Drosophila melanogaster: one gene and its partner. Changing the gene in region 1 together with any one later gene gives a genetic interaction. Each region holds a gene or a part of one and is shown on either strand. Other genes may lie near its edges.

What was found. A genetic interaction does not mean that the proteins touch.
Region 2: of uex (region 1) and PRL-1, changing one suppresses a phenotype caused by changing the other (phenotypic suppression), as found in Drosophila melanogaster (one study listed by BioGRID).

The regions. Positions count from the first base shown.
Region 1 is NT_033778.4:3,944,561-3,956,263, forward strand, and holds the start of uex (unextended), read right to left. Parts: upstream 4,866-11,703; 5' UTR 4,786-4,865; exon of another isoform or gene 4,288-4,785; intron 3,662-4,287; exon of another isoform or gene 3,040-3,661; intron 1-3,039. UniProt on the Drosophila melanogaster protein: Probable metal transporter. Acts downstream of PRL-1 and protects the nervous system against olfactory carbon dioxide stimulation.
Region 2 is NT_033779.5:16,251,539-16,259,189, reverse strand, and holds the start of PRL-1 (PRL-1 phosphatase), read left to right. Parts: upstream 1-1,583; 5' UTR 1,584-2,114; intron 2,115-3,034; exon of another isoform or gene 3,035-3,140; intron 3,141-7,401; exon of another isoform or gene 7,402-7,431; coding exon of another isoform or gene 7,432-7,560; exon of another isoform or gene 7,561-7,651. Other genes in the region: EndoGI (endonuclease G inhibitor), read right to left, coding at 1-941, 1,011-1,076; CG46309 (uncharacterized protein), read left to right, coding at 7,432-7,560. UniProt on the Drosophila melanogaster protein: Probable phosphatase. Inhibits growth possibly by negatively regulating Src64B-induced growth. Regulates central nervous system circuit formation and stabilization of synapse-dense terminal arbors.

The sequences.
Region 1 (11,703 bases):
CGATTTTTGCCACGCCCACTTTAACGCCCTAAAGCCGCCATACCAGTCACGCCAAATTTTTTAACAATTTTTAATTTTTTTCTCATTTTTTCCCCCAATATCTATCGATATCCCAGAAAAATAATGAAATTAGAGTTCGCATTCACACTAGCAGTGTAACGGGTATTTGATAGACGGGGAACTTGTCTATAGTATTCTCTCTTTTTTATATTTAAGGTTTAAGGAGAGGTACTCCGATCATTTTTGTAGAGTTTGTTAGCAATGTTGCCGCGACGATGCCTGCGTGTCTGCATGTAACCGAACCCGTTCGCATTATCTTAGGCCGAGGCTAGGCGACCCGAGCATGCATGTTAGCATTTAGAATTAGATTTAAGGCTACGAAAGCCACATACGATAATTAACAAAACTAAAACCGAAAATTGAAAGCGCCCATAGGGGGACAGAGTGGGAACGATAGCGACAGAAACTTCTGGAAGAAGTCCAAAACTCAGCGAAAAGTTTTGTGAAGCAAAAAGAACGAAAAAGGTGTTTGGGAGCAGAAGCCAATGAGTAAAGGCAAATTTGTGAATAAATGTGCGACAATTTCGCAGAAGAAAATTTACTGGGATACAGACCATCGTGTGACGCCTTATCCAGACCGGCCGAGACCAGGAGAAACGAAAGAAGGACAACTTGGAGGAGACACACGGCGGACCCGGAATCCAAGTCATCAAAGGAGGGAACGGCGAAAAGAAGATGACAAGAATTTGAAACGAGAAAGGCTGGAACAAAAATGTGATATCATGGGAAATAAATACAATTAAATCATAATAATATATATATTGGAAAAAATCTGGAAAACAAAAAAATAAAACCCACGATGCTCAGAAGGGCTTATTTTCTTGAAGACCATGTAATCGTGAATCGAGTCGTCCCAAGTATTTAGTGTTCTGTGTTTTTTGTTTATTTTTTTTGTATATTTAATATTTTTAATTTGTTTTTTGATTTATAAGTAAAATAAATATTGTTTAATTATATTTCATAAAAAATTGAGTTTACGTATGCAAAGAACTCTTAATTTTTACCTTTAAAGTTAAAAGTTTAATTTTTTTCACAGTGCGTAAACAGTTTCTTGACATACTGTATGCAACGTAAATAACTGTGCTTTTGTAAGTGAGTGCTTGTGTCCGCCGATCCTAAAATATGTGAATTGGCACCACAACTTACAGTTATTACATACATATGTAAACATTTAGTTTTAATAGGTGGAAATTCGAAACGAGTGAAGGGTGCTTAAATTTTGAGATACAGGACATTATTTTTAACGCATCAAGATGTGCTTCACTACCAGTACGGTTCATTTCATAACCAAGGAATTCTCATTCAGGTTTAAAAATTTCAAATTTATTTAGGTTAATCTGTTTGTTGTTCTCACTAATACGATCTAATAATTAAATAATTCCTCTACAGTTGTGGTAGCTACGACTTTATCATCCATATACACTACTATCTGCTTGTGATGCCCGTTATTCTTAGAGTAAAAGGATATACTAGATTCGTTGAAAAGTTGTTAGGCAGAATGAAGCGCGTCAGCATTGTTTATACAAAGCTTCTTAGTAGCTGTGAAGTATTACATTATCAGTTGCTAACTACTCCCCCTTCAGGCTTATGACCGTCCTCGGTCATGTTAAAAGTGTCGATGGTTCGCTGTATCTCCCTGGAGGCTCGTCTTCTCCTTAATGCCAGATAAAGTGCGAAGGAGCCACTTAACCCAACGTTTAGGACCACACCAGCTACGAACCAGAGTTTAGGCGAACCTTCAGATTCCATGTCGTCCTTAAAGCTTTGGATGGAGAGTAGGTTCTCGTTATTCATCCGGTGAAGCAGAGGGATGCTGAGTACAGGGTGTTAAGTATGTTAAGTAATGGGGAGCGCACAATGCCTGGCTGCTTGCTTGCTTTTCGTAGGTTTACGAACTCGGAGCCATTGATGGTTGCCGTTCGCTCGAAGGTCACCAGGTGGGTTCCCTCGACTAGTATTTCTGGGCTGCCATTGGTGCTAACACGAGCTGCTGCTTCGTTGATAATCACAACGCAGTCATCTACGGGAGGTACTTCTTGCAAGTAGCTGGGTTGAATGTGGCATTGGGCTGCGCTTCCTGCGTGGAGCGAGCGCGCACAAGATTCGCGCCGGGACCGCTCGCAGAACGTGTAGTGTGTGGTATCTGTGCATTCGGTGACCGCAAAGGTGTCATGCTTGCATTCGGCCAGCGTATCCTCGTCGAGGCGTAAGATGATGATGTTGGTGAGATACAGGGTAGACGGCGACTTTCTTGCAACCGAACTTGACTCTGGGATAGGCAATTATAATATGAATGCTGTTCTCGGACTGGAGGACCCTCATCTTGGATGCTTCTATTAAGCTGACAATAGGGGTGTCCTGTTCTACAAGAGACTTCAAGTCGGCATGGTCAAGAATGGTGGGATTTGCAATGTTTGATTTGGCCAAAGTAATAGTAAGAATTAAATTTCTGTAAAAAGCATCCTATTTCTTGCCAATAATGCTTCATATAAATGTGGAGTGTCAACCAAGTCGTTTTTACGGGCACTGATGACCTTATTGATGGTGTCATTTAACTTGTTAATCTGCTTCTGGGTTTCGGAATTTATGGTTATCTGCCGGGTCAGTCGCGATCGAACTCTCGCAGTGTGCAGATGTGCCAGCGGACAAATTCACGACGACTACTTGTGTACCGGAGCACCGCCTATCTCTCACCTACGCCGAGCGATCTGTTTGGCTATAAAGTGGATAAAGTGGCTTTGGCGGTTGGCAAATGCTTGTGCCTAAAAATAATACAGGCAAGCGTAAGGAGCCACCTAATGCACCCACAATATCGAAATCCAAAGTACCCAAGGTACTCGAAAATTCCATGAAAAAGACATTGGCCATTGGCAGCTCCACCTCCAGCTCCAATGAAATTGAAAGTGGTAATGATAAGAACAACGAATCCCTAGAGGCCGGCGAAATTAGACAGTTCACCATAAGAAATACCGTAAATACCTTTTTTCCACTCTCAAATTATACTGTGCAACCTTTTCCTTTTCTCTTAAATGTACTATTTACTAGTACGTTAAATGTTCTGCCTTTCCTCGATCCGCATATTCATCGACTCTACTATCGATTGTACTTATTACTATCGATTGTAATAAAGAGCTAACATGCAGGGAAAGCCTGAATTTAAGGTATTAGTCAACTACCGACGAATATAGAACTCTTAAGATATTTAGTTATCGGCCCTGTTCCAGAAATCACTTTCGAATGATTCCCACGGGATTCTTCTCTCTAATTGAAGTTTGGTTATATACAAAGAACAACTGTGGAAAAAACTGTAAATCATTACTTTGAGTTTTATTTAAAATAATTAAAAAATAATTGAATACTGAAATGAATCGCATTTGGCTTAAATGGCAAAATTTTCTTATGGTAAAACGAATTACAATGATTTGTTAAATAGGTAACTTACCCCAATTAGCACAATAAATTTTCTGACTCTGAATACCACTTCTACAAAAAAATACATTTTTAATACGTTAGCACAACAACAGCACACGGGACTGCATACTTAAATTCATGACAATAAACTCTGAAAGTTAAGAAGGAAAATTACAAAAATTGGTGGGAGGTAACATCACTCACAAAAGAAATCACGAGATTAACGTTGGAAACTTTTGCTTTAACATGCTTAAAAAAACCTAACTTTTGTTGCTAGAGATTTATGCTACTTTTGATTTTACTGTCTTAGTATTTTTCTTGCCAATATCTATCTATATGTATAGCAAAAAAATATTTTGGCCACGTTATAATTTTTTTATCGATTTAAGTAAAATTTCTACTTTGCACTACTAGAAAAGAAATGAGCTGATGCTGTTTTAGTTACTTTTTTCGACATTTTTTCTTCAGCTGAAGCTCCAAAAGCAACAGAAGTTTCATCAGCTACAGCACCCTGTCAAATTTCAATTGGCTACATGCATTGCTTCATATTTTAGTTATACATACAGACATACATACTTCCAGGAGAAGATACATATAATACAAGTTAGTTTTAAATATACTGTTTAAACTGCTACGCCCACATTTTTAAAAAAATTGTTGGATATTTTTTCATAATTGTATATGTCGCTTAAATTTCTATCGATTTTTGCCACGCCCACTTTAACGCCCTAAAGCCGCCATACCAGTCACGCCAAATTTTTTAACAATTTTTAATTTTTTTCTCATTTTTTCCCCCAATATCTATCGATATCCCAGAAAAATAATGAAATTAGAGTTCGCATTCACACTAGCAGTGTAACGGGTATTTGATAGACGGGGAACTTGTCTATAGTATTCTCTCTTTTTTATATTTAAGGTTTAAGGAGAGGTACTCCGATCATTTTTGTAGAGTTTGTTAGCAATGTTGCCGCGACGATGCCTGCGTGTCTGCATGTAACCGAACCCGTTCGCATTATCTTAGGCCGAGGCTAGGCGACCCGAGCATGCATGTTAGCATTTAGAATTAGATTTAAGGCTACGAAAGCCACATACGATAATTAACAAAACTAAAACCGAAAATTGAAAGCGCCCATAGGGGGACAGAGTGGGAACGATAGCGACAGAAACTTCTGGAAGAAGTCCAAAACTCAGCGAAAAGTTTTGTGAAGCAAAAAGAAAGAAAAAGGTGTTTGGGAGCAGAAGCCAATGAGTAAAGGCAAATTTGTGAATAAATGTGCGACAATTTCGCAGAAGAAAATTTACTGAGATACAGACCATCGTGTGACGCCTTATCCAGACCGGCCGAGACCAGGAGAAACGAAAGAAGGACAACTTGGAGGAGACACACGGCGGACCCGGAATCCAAGTCATCAAAGGAGGGAACGGCGAAAAGAAGATGACAAGAATTTGAAACGAGAAAGGCTGGAACAAAAATGTGATATCATGGGAAATAAATACAATTAAATCATAATAATATATATATTGGAAAAAATCTGGAAAACAAAAAAATAAAACCCACGATGCTCAGAAGGGCTTATTTTCTTGAAGACCATGTAATCGTGAATCGAGTCGTCCCAAGTATTTAGTGTTCTGTGTTTTTTGTTTATTTTTTTTTGTATATTTAATATTTTTAATTTGTTTTTTGATTTATAAGTAAAATAAATATTGTTTAATTATATTTCATAAAAAATTGAGTTTACGTATGCAAAGAACTCTTAATTTTTACCTTTAAAGTTAAAAGTTTAATTTTTTTCACAGTGCGTAAACAGTTTCTTGACATACTGTATGCAACGTAAATAACTGTGCTTTTGTAAGTGAGTGCTTGTGTCCGCCGATCCTAAAATATGTGAATTGGCACCACAACTTACAGTTATTACATACATATGTAAACATTTAGTTTTAATAGGTGGAAATTCGAAACGAGTGAAGGGTGCTTAAATTTTGAGATACAGGACATTATTTTTAACGCATCAAGATGTGCTTCACTACCAGTACGGTTCATTTCATAACCAAGGAATTCTCATTCAGGTTTAAAAATTTCAAATTTATTTAGGTTAATCTGTTTGTTGTTCTCACTAATACGATCTAATAATTAAATAATTCCTCTACAGTTGTGGTAGCTACGACTTTATCATCCATATACACTACTATCTGCTTGTGATGCCCGTTATTCTTAGAGTAAAAGGATATACTAGATTCGTTGAAAAGTTGTTAGGCAGAATGAAGCGCGTCAGCATTGTTTATACAAAGCTTCTTAGTAGCTGTGAAGTATTACATTATCAGTTGCTAACTACTCCCCCTTCAGGCTTATGACCGTCCTCGGTCATGTTAAAAGTGTCGATGGTTCGCTGTATCTCCCTGGAGGCTCGTCTTCTCCTTAATGCCAGATAAAGTGCGAAGGAGCCAATTAACCCAACGTTTAGGACCACACCAGCTACGAACCAGAGTTTAGGCGAACCTTCAGATTCCATGTCGTCCTTAAAGCTTTGGATGGAGAGTAGGTTCTCGTTATTCATCCGGTGAAGCAGAGGGATGCTGAGTACAGGGTGTTAAGTATGTTAAGTAATGGGGAGCGCACAATGCCTGGCTGCTTGCTTGCTTTTCGTAGGTTTACGAACTCGGAGCCATTGATGGTTGCCGTTCGCTCGAAGGTCACCAGGTGGGTTCCCTCGACTAGTATTTCTGGGCTGCCATTGGTGCTAACACGAGCTGCTGCTTCGTTGATAATCACAACGCAGTCATCTACGGGAGGTACTTCTTGCAAGTAGCTGGGTTGAATGTGGCATTGGGCTGCGCTTCCTGCGTGGAGCGAGCGCGCACAAGATTCGCGCCGGGACCGCTCGCAGAACGTGTAGTGTGTGGTATCTGTGCATTCGGTGACCGCAAAGGTGTCATGCTTGCATTCGGCCAGCGTATCCTCGTCGAGGCGTAAGATGATGATGTTGGTGAGATACAGGGTAGACGGCGACTTTCTTGCAACCGAACTTGACTCTGGGATAGGCAATTATAATATGAATGCTGTTCTCGGACTGGAGGACCCTCATCTTGGATGCTTCTATTAAGCTGACAATAGGGGTGTCCTGTTCTACAAGAGACTTCAAGTCGGCATGGTCAAGAATGGTGGGATTTGCAATGTTTGATTTGGCCAAAGTAATAGTAAGAATTAAATTTCTGTAAAAAGCATCCTATTTCTTGCCAATAATGCTTCATATAAATGTGGAGTGTCAACCAAGTCGTTTTTACGGGCACTGATGACCTTATTGATGGTGTCATTTAACTTGTTAATCTGCTTCTGGGTTTCGGAATTTATGGTTATCTGCCGGGTCAGTCGCGATCGAACTCTCGCAGTGTGCAGATGTGCCAGCGGACAAATTCACGACGACTACTTGTGTACCGGAGCACCGCCTATCTCTCACCTACGCCGAGCGATCTGTTTGGCTATAAAGTGGATAAAGTGGCTTTGGCGGTTGGCAAATGCTTGTGCCTAAAAATAATACAGGCAAGCGTAAGGAGCCACCTAATGCACCCACAATATCGAAATCCAAAGTACCCAAGGTACTCGAAAATTCCATGAAAAAGACATTGGCCATTGGCAGCTCCACCTCCAGCTCCAATGAAATTGAAAGTGGTAATGATAAGAACAACGAATCCCTAGAGGCCGGCGAAATTAGACAGTTCACCATAAGAAATACCGTAAATACCTTTTTTCCACTCTCAAATTATACTGTGCAACCTTTTCCTTTTCTCTTAAATGTACTATTTACTAGTACGTTAAATGTTCTGCCTTTCCTCGATCCGCATATTCATCGACTCTACTATCGATTGTACTTATTACTATCGATTGTAATAAAGAGCTAACATGCAGGGAAAGCCTGAATTTAAGGTATTAGTCAACTACCGACGAATATAGAACTCTTAAGATATTTAGTTATCGGCCCTGTTCCAGAAATCACTTTCGAATGATTCCCACGGGATTCTTCTCTCTAATTGAAGTTTGGTTATATACAAAGAACAACTGTGGAAAAAACTGTAAATCATTACTTTGAGTTTTATTTAAAATAATTAAAAAATAATTGAATACTGAAATGAATCGCATTTGGCTTAAATGGCAAAATTTTCTTATGGTAAAACGAATTACAATGATTTGTTAAATAGGTAACTTACCCCAATTAGCACAATAAATTTTCTGACTCTGAATACCACTTCTACAAAAAAATACATTTTTAATACGTTAGCACAACAACAGCACACGGGACTGCATACTTAAATTCATGACAATAAACTCTGAAAGTTAAGAAGGAAAATTACAAAAATTGGTGGGAGGTAACATCACTCACAAAAGAAATCACGAGATTAACGTTGGAAACTTTTGCTTTAACATGCTTAAAAAAACCTAACTTTTGTTGCTAGAGATTTATGCTACTTTTGATTTTACTGTCTTAGTATTTTTCTTGCCAATATCTATCTATATGTATAGCAAAAAAATATTTTGGCCACGTTATAATTTTTTTATCGATTTAAGTAAAATTTCTACTTTGCACTACTAGAAAAGAAATGAGCTGATGCTGTTTTAGTTACTTTTTTCGACATTTTTTCTTCAGCTGAAGCTCCAAAAGCAACAGAAGTTTCATCAGCTACAGCACCCTGTCAAATTTCAATTGGCTACATGCATTGCTTCATATTTTAGTTATACATACAGACATACATACTTCCAGGAGAAGATACATATAATACAAGTTAGTTTTAAATATACTGTTTAAACTGCTACGCCCACATTTTTAAAAAAATTGTTGGATATTTTTTCATAATTGTATATGTCGCTTAAATTTCTATCGATTTTTGCCACGCCCACTTTAACGCCCTAAAGCCGCCATACCAGTCACGCCAAATTTTTTAACAATTTTTAATTTTTTTCTCATTTTTTCCCCCAATATCTATCGATATCCCAGAAAAATAATGAAATTAGAGTTCGCATTCACACTAGCAGTGTAACGGGTATTTGATAGACGGGGAACTTGTCTATAGTATTCTCTCTTTTTTATATTTAAGGTTTAAGGAGAGGTACTCCGATCATTTTTGTAGAGTTTGTTAGCAATGTTGCCGCGACGATGCCTGCGTGTCTGCATGTAACCGAACCCGTTCGCATTATCTTAGGCCGAGGCTAGGCGACCCGAGCATGCATGTTAGCATTTAGAATTAGATTTAAGGCTACGAAAGCCACATACGATAATTAACAAAACTAAAACCGAAAATTGAAAGCGCCCATAGGGGGACAGAGTGGGAACGATAGCGACAGAAACTTCTGGAAGAAGTCCAAAACTCAGCGAAAAGTTTTGTGAAGCAAAAAGAAAGAAAAAGGTGTTTGGGAGCAGAAGCCAATGAGTAAAGGCAAATTTGTGAATAAATGTGCGACAATTTCGCAGAAGAAAATTTACTGAGATACAGACCATCGTGTGACGCCTTATCCAGACCGGCCGAGACCAGGAGAAACGAAAGAAGGACAACTTGGAGGAGACACACGGCGGACCCGGAATCCAAGTCATCAAAGGAGGGAACGGCGAAAAGAAGATGACAAGAATTTGAAACGAGAAAGGCTGGAACAAAAATGTGATATCATGGGAAATAAATACAATTAAATCATAATAATATATATATTGGAAAAAATCTGGAAAACAAAAAAATAAAACCCACGATGCTCAGAAGGGCTTATTTTCTTGAAGACCATGTAATCGTGAATCGAGTCGTCCCAAGTATTTAGTGTTCTGTGTTTTTTGTTTATTTTTTTTTGTATATTTAATATTTTTAATTTGTTTTTTGATTTATAAGTAAAATAAATATTGTTTAATTATATTTCATAAAAAATTGAGTTTACGTATGCAAAGAACTCTTAATTTTTACCTTTAAAGTTAAAAGTTTAATTTTTTTCACAGTGCGTAAACAGTTTCTTGACATACTGTATGCAACGTAAATAACTGTGCTTTTGTAAGTGAGTGCTTGTGTCCGCCGATCCTAAAATATGTGAATTGGCACCACAACTTACAGTTATTACATACATATGTAAACATTTAGTTTTAATAGGTGGAAATTCGAAACGAGTGAAGGGTGCTTAAATTTTGAGATACAGGACATTATTTTTAACGCATCAAGATGTGCTTCACTACCAGTACGGTTCATTTCATAACCAAGGAATTCTCATTCAGGTTTAAAAATTTCAAATTTATTTAGGTTAATCTGTTTGTTGTTCTCACTAATACGATCTAATAATTAAATAATTCCTCTACAGTTGTGGTAGCTACGACTTTATCATCCATATACACTACTATCTGCTTGTGATGCCCGATATTCTTAGAGTAAAAGGATATACTATATTCGTTGAAAAGTTGTTAGGCAGAATGAAGCGCGTCAGCATTGTTTATACAAAGCTTCTTAGTAGCTGTGAAGTATTACATTATCAGTTGCTAACTACTCCCCCTTCAGGCTTATGACCGTCCTCGGTCATGTTAAAAGTGTCGATGGTTCGCTGTATCTCCCTGGAGGCTCGTCTTCTCCTTAATGCCAGATAAAGTGCGAAGGAGCCAATTAACCCAACGTTTAGGACCACACCAGCTACGAACCAGAGTTTAGGCGAACCTTCAGATTCCATGTCGTCCTTAAAGCTTTGGATGGAGAGTAGGTTCTCGTTATTCATCCGGTGAAGCAGAGGGATGCTGAGTACAGGGTGTTAAGTATGTTAAGTAATGGGGAGCGCACAATGCCTGGCTGCTTGCTTGCTTTTCGTAGGTTTACGAACTCGGAGCCATTGATGTTTGCCGTTCGCTCGAAGGTCACCAGGTGGGTTCCCTCGACTAGTATTTCTGGGCTGCCATTGGTGCTAACACGAGCTGCTGCTTCGTTGATAATCACAACGCAGTCATCTACGGGAGGTACTTCTTGCAAGTAGCTGGGTTGAATGTGGCATTGGGCTGCGCTTCCTGCGTGGAGCGAGCGCGCACAAGATTCGCGCCGGGACCGCTCGCAGAACGTGTAGTGTGTGGTATCTGTGCATTCGGTGACCGCAAAGGTGTCATGCTTGCATTCGGCCAGCGTATCCTCGTCGAGGCGTAAGATGATGATGTTGGTGAGATACAGGGTAGACGGCGACTTTCTTGCAACCGAACTTGACTCTGGGATAGGCAATTATAATATGAATGCTGTTCTCGGACTGGAGGACCCTCATCTTGGATGCTTCTATTAAGCTGACAATAGGGGTGTCCTGTTCTACAAGAGACTTCAAGTCGGCATGGTCAAGAATGGTGGGATTTGCAATGTTTGATTTGGCCAAAGTAATAGTAAGAATTAAATTTCTGTAAAAAGCATCCTATTTCTTGCCAATAATGCTTCATATAAATGTGGAGTGTCAACCAAGTCGTTTTTACGGGCACTGATGACCTTATTGATGGTGTCATTTAACTTGTTAATCTGCTTCTGGGTTTCGGAATTTATGGTTATCTGCCGGGTCAGTCGCGATCGAACTCTCGCAGTGTGCAGATGTGCCAGCGGACAAATTCACGACGACTACTTGTGTACCGGAGCACCGCCTATCTCTCACCTACGCCGAGCGATCTGTTTGGCTATAAAGTGGATAAAGTGGCTTTGGCGGTTGGCAAATGCTTGTGCCTAAAAATAATACAGGCAAGCGTAAGGAGCCACCTAATGCACCCACAATATCGAAATCCAAAGTACCCAAGGTACTCGAAAATTCCATGAAAAAGACATTGGCCATTGGCAGCTCCACCTCCAGCTCCAATGAAATTGAAAGTGGTAATGATAAGAACAACGAATCCCTAGAGGCCGGCGAAATTAGACAGTTCACCATAAGAAATACCGTAAATACCTTTTTTCCACTCTCAAATTATACTGTGCAACCTTTTCCTTTTCTCTTAAATGTACTATTTACTAGTACGTTAAATGTTCTGCCTTTCCTCGATCCGCATATTCATCGACTCTACTATCGATTGTACTTATTACTATCGATTGTAATAAAGAGCTAACATGCAGGGAAAGCCTGAATTTAAGGTATTAGTCAACTACCGACGAATATAGAACTCTTAAGATATTTAGTTATCGGCCCTGTTCCAGAAATCACTTTCGAATGATTCCCACGGGATTCTTCTCTCTAATTGAAGTTTGGTTATATACAAAGAACAACTGTGG
Region 2 (7,651 bases), on another chromosome or scaffold:
TCCTCGTTGTCGTAATAGTCGGAATCGCGGGCGCAACTGGGACCAAGTTCCATTTTCACCATCTTGTCGCGCCAAAAGTCGAGAAGCTCTTTGGTGAGAACCTCATCCCTCAGATTGAAAATCCAACTGTTGTAGTCGTCGGGCCCATAGAAACCAGCATCACCCTTGTACTCCTGCAGCAGCTCGGCGGCCTTGTTTTGATCCTCCGCTGAGGGTGTGCCATCGAAGAGCAGCTTCCAGATTATCTCCCTGGCGGCTGCCGCTATCTTCTTCACGCTGGCCTGGTGAACGCTGTCCGGAACGATGATTTTGGTCAGAACAAAGCGCTTCATTAGAGTTCGGTATTCCTCGAGCGGATTTTCCTTGGTCAGGGTGGCCTCAAATTCGCCAGACAGAGCGGCGGCATCATCGGCACTCAGTTCACCCGGAGTTGTAGGCGTCGCTGGCCCATCCTGATCCAGCGAAGCCTGCTCCTCGAGTGCTGCGCGCACCTTTAAGCTGGCTGCAAATGGAGCGGTACAACCGGCATGGGCATAGAACTCCAATGGCGGGGTGTCGTCGCTGTCAAAGAGATCACTGTCGCGTGACCAACAGGGACCGAGTTGCTTCTTCACCAGCACATCGCGCCAAAAGTCGAGGAGTTCCTTCTTTAGAACCTCATCCCTCAGCTTGACAATCCATTCGTTGTACGGCGTCGGGTCGTAGAAGCAGGCGTCACCACGGTATTCCTCCAGCAATTGGCTGGCCTTCTCTGTGTTCGATTGCGAGGTACCGGCCTCGTCGAATAACAGCCGCCAGATGACGTCACGCGCCGCTGCAGCCGTTCGATCGAAATTCTCCTTGGTGACATCATCATCCACGATTTCGTCTACCTGCACGCGTGTTTCGATAAGCTTTTGGTAATCCTTAACGGGATCCACCAGGCCAATGGTGTAATCGTTCTGTCCAGACAATAGTTGTTATTGTTTGTAAACTATTTTTGTTTATTTTCTATGGCTGTTGCTTATTACCTGTGCTACTTTCTCGGCCGTTGCCATTTTGTCGGATTGTGTGTCCTCGGCCTTGCGCTTGGACATTCCCCTCTGGATAAATTGGCGATTTAAGGTTCTTCGAAGTAAAGCGTTTAAAATCGTTGGGCTATTGATCGTCACTTCTGTCGGAAAGAGATAAGATGACTAATTCAGATCGCCGCTTGCTGTTGCGATACTACGAATGTAAATAGTAGGGTAGTTCTTTTCAATAGAGAATAATTTTAATTGGAATATTCTCGGAAGGACAGACCAAGAATCAAAATAAGACGACTTATTGGATGAATAAGAAAAGAAAGTATGTGACATATTGAAAATATTATATATTTTATGTCGGTTTATAAATAAATATATATGTATATATATTGTACAACTTCCTTTAAAATCACATCTTACATTTAAAATAAAAAAAACTGTTTTTAAAAGACAATTGCAAAATAGGTAATTAAATTATTACAAAAAAGTATCGATTCTGCCCGCAATCGATGTTTATCTAACACTTAATTGCACTCGATACTATCGGCTCTATCGAGTGTTCGAGATTATCGAATATAATCACCATCCGTGTCTACCAACACAAACGAGCGAATTGTTCGCAACGCCTACTTCGATTACAAGTACTTTGCTCTTGGAAATCGGTAGAAAAAATTGTGCAATCCGTGCTGGAAACTACAGATATTATTTTCGCCCGATTAATTCATGTCAAATTGATAGATTCATCTTATACCATTGGTTCCGCCCCGTGCTGACTGTGTTTGTGTGTGTGTGTGCGTGACAGACACAAAGAAATTTGAGGTTAAGCTGCAGATGAATTTTGCGTTAATGTCGCTGAAAAACCAAAGTTTAACAATCCTATTCAATAAAAAACACTTAAGCTAAAGATACAATCAATTTACAGTTGCAATAAGAGCAATAGTTGTGTCGTAAAAGGCAACACACACCAGCCAATTGCATTCGTGGAATTCGTGTCGGTGAGAGTCTCGCGGTGCGTCTGTGTGTGCGTGTGGACGTGAATTCAATTTTCTCGTGCACGAAAAGCAACGAAAAAGCTTCAAAAGTTATACTCAAATGTGTATGGCAATTGTGGTAAGTGCGGCAGGGGATCGGCTACAGCCGCAAGTTTTTAAATAATACATTTTTGTTGCATAAATTGTTTCGAACGTCAACGAACACTCGCACAACTACTGAGCCACAAAGTATGTGTGCTTGTGTGCGTGCGTTGGCATTTACATTCAATTTTTTTCGTTTAAACAATTTCTAACTGGATTTTGTTTGTTTTATTCGAAAAATAGTCTTAAAAAACATGTTGGCATTAGAAATAGTTTCTGGAATTTGTTTAAATTTTTTTTTAGTATATATCAACCAGTTACATTTTTATTTGTCTGTGCAAAAACTATAAACAATTGTCATCTTGTAAAACTAGAATATGTTATAAACTAATTGTGTTTACGTTTTTTATAAATATGAATGTGAACTTTTTAAATGTATTCTTCTCAAAATACCAACAAATCTGTGTAATTGCTATGAATAATATTCTTTTCTTCGCAATCAAATTAATCGAATTGCAAATTCTGCTGTGCTTGCATAAAAAACGTTAAGGAAAGTAATGTAATGTCCCATTTGTTATCATACACAACAATCATATACTTCAATAAATGGGTAACTTCACGCATTTTACTTTCATTCGACCCAGTTACCTGGTTAACTGCCTTCGCCAGTTGAAAATAAATGTCAGCTGACCCAGTTTTACCATCCGAACGGAACTAGGACGGGACCAAAACTATTTTGCACTGCACCAGTTAAAGTTTATTTCTCTTATTTTTTTTGGCAGTTTTTATCATCTTCATACGTCATTTGCTAGGTACATACACGTAGATTCTAATCTAATATCTAATCTGTTGAAGACATTTCGAGCAGATTTATATCATATCAAAGCGGCAGAGCAAACAGTAAACAAAAGACATGGCCGAGAGAAATTGTTTTTTTTAGAACAAAACAGCCAAATCAGTTGGCATTTTATACTGAACAAATGTGGACGGAGCAAAGTTGTAGTGCAAAAAGATTGCCTTCGTTCATAGCTTTCAATTTTACAATCAGTTGTTACTCAACAAGGTTTGGCTGTGATTTGCTGTTATCTCGAATTTTCGCATTTTTTCCACCTGTGTTTATCTTGATCGCACTGTTTGCTAATCGATATCAGCAAATTGCGTCAATTGGTATTGAAAGCGGTATAAGCGGTATAGAAATGGAACCTGGCAACTGAAACTGTCCCATACGCACCAAAGGAATATCAATTATACGCCAACCGGTGGTTGAAAATCCCAACGATATCCATTTTTTAACCGGTTCTCTTGTCAGATTTCTTGTGCTCTCTCCCTTTTATTTCCGTTTGGGGTCTCTTGTCCTTGAACAAGTTCAATGATAGTGCCCCGGCCACGGCAATACAAACAAAAGAAAGAAAAGAATCTCTTTCGGTTTCATTCTCTCTTTTTATTTATCCGTGATAAAAAAGAGCGAGCAGATAAGCGTATCAGCCAAGGGAAGAATTTTAAAATCCGGTTTGACTTTATCAAAAATATACCGAACAAACTCATACGAAAAGACGTCATAACTTGAACGCATCGATTACAAAACTCGATTAATTTGGTAGGGTTCCTTTCAATCATACAGATATACATTTTTCAAGATTGAATACCTATCTATCTAGCATTGCATTAAATTCCATTTTCTTATCAAGAGTACTACTACATGTATCTCAACTCAGTGTAGAGATTACGTATACGCTTCTTGGTTATTTTGTATTCCAGCTGTTTGTATTTTGTTGTCTGGGTTTATCTGCTTTCCGCCAGTTCTAAAATATTCCATATTCCCACGCACACAATCGAATCGAAAGCCAATTGAATTCCTCGAAATGTGTGGCAATACTTTCGTTCATTGAAATGCTTCCAGCAAATTTGTTTGAGGTCATTTTGATTTAGTGCAATTTATTGGATCTTTCTGAACATCTTCAACATCTTCTTAATTTTTGTTGTTGTGCGATAAATTTGCTTACTCGACAATTACCGAAATTAAACTTATTTAAAATTTACAACTTTCACTGCTCCGTGATCTGTAACCAAATCTATAAATGTGTCAAGTTGTAATTATAGAAATTCTCAAAATTAATTGAATGTAGATAAATGTATATTTCACGGTCTTTTGAGGTCATACTCGTACAGTAGCGGCAGCTTAAATTCTACAGCCAGCTAATTAAATACACTCGCACATTAGTTAGGAAGAAGTCAAGAACTCGCTAATTAGAAATATCGAAGTAGCATGAGAGTTGCGAACTTTCAGACTACTTTTCGCGGTTATATATCATTGTGCTGTATTATTTTTTTTTTTTTTTTTACTGCTGTCACGTTTTGGCCGCTTGTGTGCAGAATTTCACCAATACATGTCATATCCAAAAATAGACCAAAAAGCGAACAACAAAGCATGCAATACGATTTACAAACGTCAGTGGAGGGTGGAGGGTGGTAGATTGGTGGAAAATGGGAGGGGAAAATGTCACCGACCACCCCCGGATTCTATATATAGTGCGCGATAAATGCGGCGCTGTTTGTCCTCAATAGTTTTGGCCTGCCCTTGGTTAAGGTACACAGTACCCAAAACTAACCAGGAAAATGGCACTTTTTTGTTGATGTACTATGCATGTATGTACGTAATCCTTGTCTGTAAATCAACCTTGAAGGACCTGCAATTTGTGGCAGGAGAAGGCATGCATTCGATAATTGCAATAACGAGACAAGATTGCTTATTTATTTTTGTTTTGGTTGCATTTTATCAAAACAAAACAACAACAGCTGTTTTCCGATTAAAAGTCGTTGATGACGCATGAGAAGTCGCCGCCTGGTGCGTCACGAAAAACAGCGCGACCACTTGGCAACTAGAAAAAGGCGGTTTGAGATCCTAGTTGCCCCCGTGGTGGGGCCACCATTTCCTGCTCATCTCCTCCTGGTTCGCAGCACTCGAGACGCTTCGGGGCAAACTTAAAATTTCCATTATGGCGAAATACGGAAATCGCGGATGGATGGAGATGGAGATGGTGTTGGTGCTGGGGCTTGGACATCGCCCTTCCTCCTTTGCTAGTCGCGCAAAATCAATAACTCGAGCTTGGTCTGTGTTTTTTTTTGCTGTCTTTTCATTTGACTTGGGTTTCCAATACCCATACTTATCTGATCTGAAAGCGTGCCGCGAATATCTAAGGTGAACAAAACTTAGAAAAGTTTTGGTTTTCATGTGTTTGGCAGTACAAAAAAGGTTCTTGCTTGCTTTATATCTATATCTATATCTATCTATATCTCGTATCTATCTATATCTATCTATCTATATCAATCTATCTATATCAATCTTCTTGACTATACATTTATTGTAAGATGAATTTATATCTATTGATCCTAAATCATTTACAATTATTCTCAATATTCATTTAAGATACCAATGATTCCAATGATTTAAGTTCCAAGTTGGTAACAGTGTACTGTTTTATTGAATGTTTAGTCTACCAGCTTTCTACCCCATGTAGGTAGCTAGTTTTTGTTTTTTTAATAAGTGTATAAGACTTAATGTATTCTTAGTGTCTGCGTTATGTCTGGCTTTTTTTTTCGGCACGTCTCCGGTTTTATTGACACCCGTGGACAGACTTTAGCTTAGTAAGTTGAGGCTTGAGTGGCAGTTACCCTCATCACATTTCCCGTCCGTTAGTCATTTTCAATTTGTTTACAACCTTTTACTACTATTTTTTGCAAGTCTGTGATTATTGGCGTAAATCGGGCGATCTTGTTTGCCAGGATTGCAGTCGAAGTCTAAACAAAAACTGAAAGAGGGGACAAACAAAAAAAAAAAAAAAGAAAAGGGAACTGGAATTGAAGTACTTTGAACCCCGAATCCAAACTCAGACACACCGGCATTCAGTTGTGTTTGCTTTCTTACCTCCAGATTTCATCGGTTCCTTGTTCTTTGTTTCCTTCTTGTCTGGCCCTCGGTCTAAGTCGTCTGCTCCTGTTTCGGGAAAGTCCAATCAACTTTCCGCACAGACAAAACCATCTGCTACCTCGGAGAGAACAAAAAGTATTTTTTGTCAAAGATACAATAGTCTGTTAAGAAGTTTTGTCTAATTGCACGAATATCTTTATGTTGATTTGAATCAAAAGTTTGATTTCATTAAACTCGTCGTTTAAAGACATTATGATGTATTAACTGATTGGAAAATGTATTTGAAAATCTGTGTATGTAGCGAGGAGCATTCAAGTGGAACAAATGTGTACATATGTATGCATGTATGTTTGTATATAGCGAGTAACAATATAGCCGCAATTTGGTATTAGTGTCGTCATGCCATTTGCCTACATCTCGATTATAATCAACTGGTTTAAATGTAAGACTAATTTCATATTAAGTTACACGTTTGTGTGCGCCGTAGCCTTCATTAACTGTGCATAATATAAACCGCATTTAGCTTTGTTTATTGCCCTTAAATAACGACTGACCTTGGCATCCCGTAAAAGTTATAATCTGACTGCAAAACTTTCCTTCGCTGTATTTGAACACTTTCCAAGTCAGGTAGCTAGATGGGGAAAAAAACCTTTATATGCTAAAGATCTTATCAATCATTTATTTATTCCCCGATTTAAAAAGCGTTTCCACACAGTTATTTGAATATCCTACGGATTATATGTCTATAAGCATTTTGGCACTTTAAAATACCAAGCCATTAACGCGAAATAATTTGTATTGGTCATAAATATAAGTGTTTGTTAGGTAATGTCAATATGATTTGCGTTTCTTCGAAAATACAGGTATATTCAAAATTTTAGTAGAGTTTATTTTCGAAACTTATTTCAGAGACGAAGTCGAAAAAAATATTTTAAGATCTATATTTAAAAAGAACAGAATACAAACTAACTTGTTGTCTAGTTTCTAAAATTAAACAATTTAACATTTTAAAATAAATACCCTCGTGATTTTAAATCAGAACTACTTATATTGTCACTACTATACCAGAACGAATAAAATGCTTTAAAATTTAAACATTTTTAGTAAGCACAAAATTCGCCCTTTCATGGTCCATTGAACTCTGCTAATTATGTTCAACAGTAGAAAAGTAAAACTAACCAAGCAAATTGTTTCTATTTTTCCTGCCTCTATTGTTTTTGCACAACAGACTTTTTAAAGCGCTTTAAATATGCACCAGACTGTAGATAATTTTTTTTCGCTCTCTGCGTGAGCGATTGGAGAGATGTGCGTCACGACTCTCTCTTCGTTCTCCCCGGCAATGGAGACTTACTGCCGGACGGAGCGGCCGTTTCCGTGGCGTAAAATGGGCGGCGAAGAGTTGACAATCGCCAGTCGATAGCAAAACATGAGAGAGTGCTCATCACGCAGCAATACGCGTCTACTTATTGTGGTAATCGTAATCGATCAACGTCTCAGAATCGACACTTGTCGATATTTAATCGAGATACTATCTCGCCGTATAACGGGCGATTAACGATAGGTAAATACAATTTATCCGCTGGCAAATCTGAATGTGGAGGACCAATCCTCAGTATATTCGAATTAACTGATAGGAGAGAAAGCTT